Linked DNA regions of Oryzias latipes. The protein of the gene in region 1 binds, or shares a complex with, the protein of each later gene. Links are inferred from orthologs where the notes say so. Each region holds a gene or a part of one and is shown on either strand. Other genes may lie near its edges.

The links. Proteins that work in one complex are often made in the same cells at the same time.
Region 2: pole (region 1) and pole4 share a complex: the UniProt entries of both Homo sapiens proteins name them as parts of the DNA polymerase epsilon complex. The link is inferred for Oryzias latipes from reciprocal best matches to the Homo sapiens genes POLE and POLE4.

What each region holds. Positions count from the first base shown.
Region 1 is NC_019867.2:13,286,114-13,289,625, forward strand, and holds part of pole (DNA polymerase epsilon catalytic subunit A), read left to right. Parts: intron 1-650; coding exon 651-770; intron 771-858; coding exon 859-991; intron 992-1,090; coding exon 1,091-1,204; intron 1,205-1,304; coding exon 1,305-1,517; intron 1,518-1,607; coding exon 1,608-1,715; intron 1,716-1,790; coding exon 1,791-1,919; intron 1,920-1,998; coding exon 1,999-2,101; intron 2,102-2,169; coding exon 2,170-2,316; intron 2,317-2,405; coding exon 2,406-2,551; intron 2,552-2,661; coding exon 2,662-2,810; intron 2,811-2,887; coding exon 2,888-2,980; intron 2,981-3,060; coding exon 3,061-3,363; intron 3,364-3,473; coding exon 3,474-3,512. UniProt on the Homo sapiens protein: Catalytic component of the DNA polymerase epsilon complex. Participates in chromosomal DNA replication.
Region 2 is NC_019862.2:30,739,986-30,743,977, reverse strand, and holds pole4 (DNA polymerase epsilon subunit 4), read left to right. Parts: upstream 1-1,236; 5' UTR 1,237-1,408; coding exon 1,409-1,642; intron 1,643-1,778; coding exon 1,779-1,863; intron 1,864-3,159; coding exon 3,160-3,201; intron 3,202-3,313; coding exon 3,314-3,327; 3' UTR 3,328-3,484; downstream 3,485-3,992. UniProt on the Homo sapiens protein: Accessory component of the DNA polymerase epsilon complex. Participates in DNA repair and in chromosomal DNA replication.

The DNA of each region.
Region 1 (3,512 bases):
GCAGACATCCAAAGCATAGAGGCCATGCTTCTTAAGTCGCAACTGCGGTGGGCTGGGCATGTACACAGGATGGAGGACCACCGACTGCCAAGGATCACTCTGTATGGCGAACTTGCATCAGGCCAGCGAGATAAAGGGGCACCAAAAAAGAGATACAAAGACTCTCTTAAGAAATCCCTTGGTGCTTGTAACATCAACCATCGTCAGTGGTCTACTTTGGCAAAAGACCGTGACACCTGGCGCCAGTACATCAAAGACGCTGTCTCCTCTTTTGAAGACAAGCGACGGACTAGGCTAAAAGACAAACGGCAAATGAGAATAGCCGGCCTCACGACTGCACCGAATCCAGAACAGACTTTCACCTGCAGCCTCTGCTACAGGATCTGCCTTTCCCATATTGGATTGCTCAGCCACGAGCGAGCTTGTAGAAGACGTGGACAGCCCTCTTCATAATCTTCGTTTACGAAGCCTCGCCATGATATGCACAGAACATTCTACAATCTGGTTTTTGGTGTGATTTTTAGTGTCGTGTAACACTCCGATTATAAGAAGATCTGATGTTTCATCTGAATTTAGTTTTTAAAAATGGAAGAAAATAGGCAACTAAAACTTTTAATGCAAATCATTTTGACTTGTTTTTTTCTCTCTAGGCCTTTTGTTGAGACTCGAGCTGCCGTCCATGGACTCAACATGCACAGAGAGATCGGTTTCCAGAAGGACAGCCAAGGAGAGTACAAGTCCAGCCAGGCAATCCACATGGACTGTTTAAGGTGTCAACACAAACGACACAGTATCATATTGAACGGTATTTTTAATTATACAGATTTATCACCACTTTCTCCTGTTTCAATGTATCAGGTGGGTAAAAAGAGACAGCTACTTACCCGTGGGGAGTCACAATCTGAAGGCAGCGGCAAAAGCTAAGTTGGGTTATGACCCAGTTGAGCTGGATCCAGAGGAAATGTGCCGAATGGCAACGGAAGAGCCGCAGGTATTTAAAAAAAAAAAAGAACCAGGGAAAGTTTTAAAATTAAATAGATTTTTAATTTCTTTTCTTTTTTCACCATTTTTTCCGCTTTTTTCTCCTCAGACCTTAGCCACATACTCTGTGTCAGACGCAGTGGCCACATACTATTTGTATATGAAATATGTTCACCCCTTCATCTTTGCGCTGTGCACAATCATCCCAATGGAGCCTGATGAGGTCTGTTAGAAGCATTTTCATAAAAGAACTCTTAAATCCAAACATTTAGTTTATTTTACTGATGATTAGTTTTTTTCTGTTTGGGTCTGTTCGCCAACAGGTGCTCCGGAAAGGTTCCGGGACTCTGTGTGAAGCCTTGCTCATGGTGCAGGCCTTTCACGCCAACATCGTGTTCCCCAACAAGCAGGAACAGGCCTTCAACAAGCTGACAGATGACGGCCATGTTTTGGATTCGGAGACCTACGTGGGTGGACACGTGGAGGCGCTGGAGTCGGGAGTGTTTCGCAGCGACATTCCCTGTCGGTTTAAAATGGTACTGTCATGTTTGCTCCACCCCTTTTTGCCAGTTGTCGGCACAGTCCGACTCTTTTAAAACTAACAGTTTGGCTTGACTCGTTGACAGAATCCAGCTGCGTTTGACTTCCTTTTGCAAAGAGTTGAAAGAACTATGCGCCATGCTATCGAGGAGGAGGAGAAAATCCCTCTGGAGCAAGTTACTAATTTCAATGAGGTGTGTTGGCCTTTTGTAGTTGGTGTTCTCTTCATGCTGGTTCGTGCTTTTTAGCCCCGATCACTGTTCTGTCAGGTTTGTGATGAGATCAAAGAGAAGCTGACTTCCTTGAAGGAGGTTCCAAACAGAATTGAATGCCCACTCATCTACCATCTCGACGTCGGAGCGATGTACCCCAACATCATTCTCACAAACCGACTGCAGGTAAAGTTTATATTTAAAAAGTACAAACCGTAAAGCAGTGTGGATTTAAGTTTCACTTCTCTGTGTGAATTTTTCCTAGCCGTCTGCTATGGTAGATGAAGCCACCTGTGCTGCCTGTGACTTTAACAAGCCTGGTGCGACCTGTCAGAGGAGGATGGCCTGGCAGTGGAGAGGGGAAATCAGTAAGCTGTCCATAACTCTGGAAATCAAAAACGATTACTTTATTTTAATGTTTTCATTCTGCCTGCAGTGCCTGCAAGTCGCAGTGAGTTTCACCGCATCCAGCAGCAGCTCGAGTCTGAGAAGCTACCCCCGCTTTTTCCCAACGGCCCCCCCCGGGCCTTTCACACACTCAACCGGGAGGAGCAGGCCAAGCACGAGAAGAAACGTCTGGCGGGTATAGTCCGTCTCTTGCATCTGTTGCTTAAGGTTTCGGTTTTGTGCAGACCCCAAAGCATAAGTGGATGTGTCCTTTCTCTGTGCCAGACTACTGTAAGAAGGCCTATAAGAAGACGCACGTCACCAGGCTGGAGCAACGGGTCACCACCATCTGTCAGAGAGAAAACTCTTTTTATGTCGATACAGTCAGAGCTTTCAGGGACCGGCGGTATGAATTCAAAGGACTTCACAAGGTTTGTTCTCTAAGATAAATCACGTTGAGTTATCTGGACTTTAAATGGTCATAGTTGTGATTTACTCAGTGCTGTATTATTGGCTGTCTAATATATATTTTTTGTTAAAGGTGTGGAAGAAGAAGCTGTCGGCAGCTCAGGACAGCGGAGATGCTGCAGAGGTGAAGCGCTGCAAAAACATGGAGATCCTGTACGAGTCTCTTCAGCTGGCCCATAAGTGCATCCTTAACTCTTTCTATGGTTACGTCATGAGGAAAGGGTAGGGGGTCATTAAACAATAGTCAGATTTGCTTCTGAGATGTTTGCCATCTTAAAGTTGCTGTTTTTGTCTTTCAGGGCACGCTGGTATTCCATGGAGATGGCTGGAATCGTGTGCTACACCGGCGCCAACATCATCACTCAGGCCAGAGAGCTCATTGAACAGATTGGGTGAGTCCCATAGGCATTTACGCAACGTTTCCTTGTGAGAAAGGCGTCACATCCATGTGGGATGATTCTCCACCACTCAGGAGACCCCTTGAGTTGGACACAGATGGCATCTGGTGTGTCCTCCCCAACACCTTTCCTGAGAACTTTGTGGTGAAGACCAGCAACGAGAAGAAGCCCAAGGTGACCATCTCTTACCCGGGAGCCATGCTGAACATCATGGTGAAGGAGGGATTCACTAATGACCAGTACCACGAGCTGGTCGACCCCGCTTCGCTCACGTACAACACCAGAGCAGAAAACAGCATCTTTTTTGAGGTGGACGGGCCGTACCTCGCCATGATCCTGCCTGCTTCTAAAGAGGAAGGCAAGAAGCTGAAGAAGAGGTGAGGCCGCTGTTGCTGCTGAGTTAATGTACAGGTTTGTAAACTGCTCCTTGTTGTAGGGGAGGGTAAAGACAAAAGCACGGATCAAAAGTGACTGATCTTCTCCGTAGGTATGCTGTGTTCAACGAGGACGGCTCTCTGGCTGAGCT
Region 2 (3,992 bases), on another chromosome or scaffold:
CAAAAACATCCGCAGCAAAAGAAAAACATGTGAAAAAAACATTACATCATTTAAAGAAATTATATACATTTCTTTTTTGGTTTTAAATTTAAAAAATGGGAAAAATGAGAAAAGGGGTTTCTGTCCTCGTCATTTATTTTCTTTACAAAAAAAATTAAAAAGGAATAAATCAAGCGAATATATATTTTTAAACATATTTTTAAATTAGACCCCAAAGTTGAGGAGAAGTTATATCTACCTGCAGCCCCCATGTATAGCAATCAAATGCAGTGTCGTTAACAGCCTGCAGGGCGGAGCTCTTCGGAGTGCAAAGTTAAAAAAAACAACTGCAAAGTTTCTTGTTTCTAATATTGGCATTTGAACATATTATCTGTCATTTCCTAAGCATTATTCTATACACAATAATTCTAAAGGAAATAAGAGGCTGCAGAATTGTATTTTGTGTGTCTGAGCAACAGAAAACCAACATTTTTATGTTTATACAATTGAAATTAAAATGGCTAAATACAGTCTGTTTCATTGCAAAACACTTTCCTCTTAAAAAAAGGTAAAGAGTTTAGAGGCAACAGCACAGCAGTTCTGATAAAGTCTTTTTTCTTTTCTTGAGTAAAAAACACATGTTTAAATATAGATGCTCAATAAAATGACCAAAAAAAAGTTAAAGAAATGTCTTCTGACAACATAATTGAAAAATATTTACAGTTTTCATAAAACTTAATTTGCGTTTTCTTTGCAACATTTTAACTTTTTTATTGGGTATGCAAAATTAGGGGCAATGTACAGTAAGGAAACTTTAAATAAAAACAGATTAAATGAAAAAATAAAATACATAATAATCAAAAGAAAAGAGTACCAGATATTTTCAAACCGTTTTTGTCAGGTAGTTTCGGGAGTAATTTTTAAATTTCTCTTTGTTTAGATTGTTGCTTTTAACAGCTTTATATTTAGCTTCACTTTGCTGCCACCTTGTGGACATTTTGTTTATTGGTGTTTTGTTAATTTATTTTTAACCCACTTTTTTCTTTTATCTACTAATCTTAATGAAAAGATTAAATTATATTCACCAAATTTATTTGAAAGAGTCTTACAGCTGATAAACATTTGACTGAGCCACTGAGTTGTCGGTAGTTGGGCGGTAACATTGTTTGAGTGGCAGTCACGTTTGACCAATCATACGGCTTTGTTGTCCAATCTGTCCAATCATTGACTTGAAAGCGTTGGCGGGACCAAAGGAAACTGACCAATAGGGATGCAGTGCCTCTACTAGACCGGAAGCACATGCTGGCGCGCTGCTGTTCGCCTTCGTTTGTTACTTTTATCTTTGTCATGAAGTTAGAAAGCTTAATAAATATCCGCGCGTCTGTTTTTTGATCACTTTTTGGTGGGGGGGAAAATAACTCCCCGTTCAATGGCAGCGCTCGTCTCCTCTACGGAGCAGGAGTCTGACAGGTGCGGGAGTGAGGAGGAGAACCGCGGAGTGGAAGCGGGGGACGGGGGCCAGCAGCAGCAGACGGGTCCCGCCGCACCCGGCGGCAGCCGCCTGTCCAAACTCCCGCTGGCTCGCATCAAAGCCCTGATGAAAACCGACCCAGACGTGTCCCTCGCCAGCCAAGAGTCTGTGTTTATCATCGCCAAAGCCACGGTGAGTCCCTGAACCCGCAGCCCGCTCCGCGAGGAGAAGGTTCGGCCCCGCACGGCACCATGGGATGCTATGATGGTCAGAGGTGATGATGATGATGATGATGATGATGGTGATGTTTCTCTCTTCTTCCTACCAGGAGTTGTTCGTTGAGATGATCGCCAAAGATGCTCTGGTTTACGCCCAGCAAGGGAAGAGGAAAACTCTGCAGAGGAAGGACCTGGGTAAGGCCTGAGGACGCTCCACATCTCTGCATTGTGCTCGATATTTGCCGAACTAGTGAGCATCATTTTCGCAGAGACTTCTGGGAAGTTTCTAGGGCACTGGAGTTTGGAATTGTAGGTTGTGTCCAAATTCCTTCCCTACTCACCAGATAACGCATTCGCCATGTTGTAGTGCTGTCTGAATCTACAATCTCCCAAATCCAGAGTCCTAGAAATTTCCCAGAAGTCTCTGCCAAAAACCAGCGTGCATCAATGCTCACTAGATCAGCGAATATAGACCACAATGCATTGCGTCGGAACGATTTTTGCCAAAAAATGTATTTTTTGTTAAACTATCAACATTTTTATCTTCAGAAGACATAATAAATAATCGTCATAAAACGCTCATATTAATTAGATTTTAACTTTGTGGAATCGATATTTGAAGCAGTGAGCCTGGTCTCCGAATTTCTTTTCAAATCCAGGGCACTACATAGAGCCGCTCTATAGTTTTTTAGTAGTTAGGGGTTAGGGCGGGAATTCAGAAACAACCTATAAATCAAACCAGAGTATAAGTCAAATAATAATGATAAAAAAGAAGAAATAATTATGTAGAAGTCGCACTTTGGGGAGAAATTAATTTAACAAAACACGGTAAAAAATACCAGACATTTCATCTTAAAATAAATAGCAGGTATAGACTGAATATTTACAACTTCACTACTGTAAAAGTATTTAGTTTGATGACAAATAGGAGGAATCTATTCAAATTAGTGAAACATATGAACAGTTGTTCAGATAACCATGACATAAAGAACATGCTAACAAGAGCGGCGTAAGACTGAGCGGCGCTTCTTCACTGTCAGTAACAAACATCTACAGAACACATCTGGCTCCAAACTCTGGATGGCTCCAATATCGCTCGCCATTTCTGTTGCACCGCTCATGCTAGGTTGAGGGGCTGTATGTAAGAGAGTATGTAAACAGAGAACTCTCAGACACGGTTAGGGAATGGGTTGCTATGGCCCAAGGCCCCGCCCACAACTCGCAGGTGAATTTCTACTGAACTCCTGCCACTCTACAGAAAATATGTCCACGAAACAACAAACAAACAAAAAACGGCATCATTATAATTGAAAGACGGTTTTGAAAATGGATCAACAGATGATCGGAGTGGGACAGTAGAATAAACAAATGAACATTAAATTCATTAAAATTCAAACATATTTAGTTTCTTTTTTGTGTTTCATTTGACAAACTTCAGTGGTTTCTCCTCCTGAGTTTCATTCGTTTGTTGTTGTTTTGTTGTCCCTGCAGACAACGCAATAGAGGCCGTAGACGAGTTTGCATTTCTTGAAGGTAAAAAAACCCACGTTCTTTCTGCACATGCATGTTACTGACAGCGTGTGCACAGGAACATTTCATTGACATGTTTGTGCATCCGGTAACTGTATCATTTTTTTCTCTGCAGGCACGCTGGACTAGAGACGACCGGCTTGACGGGCGGCGCGAGCGAGCGAGCGACTTCCTCCGGTCCGTTTGTGCAGAGACAAAAAGCTCTTCTGCTTAAGGACTCGTACATATGTACACTGTTGTGTAAATATTTTTGCTAAATTCACTGAAATAAATGCGTTTGAAACTACCGGTTTATTTCTAAAGTCATTCCTTGCTGCATTGTGGGTAAGGTTGGTTGCCAGCATCTTAAAATACATTTAGAATCGTTTTGATTAATAAAGTTTGAAGGAATTAAATTCTTGAACATTTTATAAAAAGAAAAGAAAACAACAGGTTTGTATTTTCAGACAGTCACAACATGATTCTGATTCATTTCCTTGATAAGTTTGTGTTTTCGGAAAGAAACAACTAAAAACTTCCTAAAAGGGTTCAAATCTAAACTGTAAACACCTAAACCTTTATGTTTTATGGACGCTGGATCCTTGGATGCCAGTACTTTATATTAGCTATTGTGAGTCGAAAGTATATTTGGGCTGAGAACATACATGTTTATGTGAAATAAACAGGCCGTCATAGTTTTTGACTTCAGAGTAAAGTCCTGAAATATTGGAATATTTGTTTTTAAAATGGGAATTGGTTCATTTCAAGGAAACAAAAACTTAAGAAAACACACAAAATGATAGATATAGATAAAA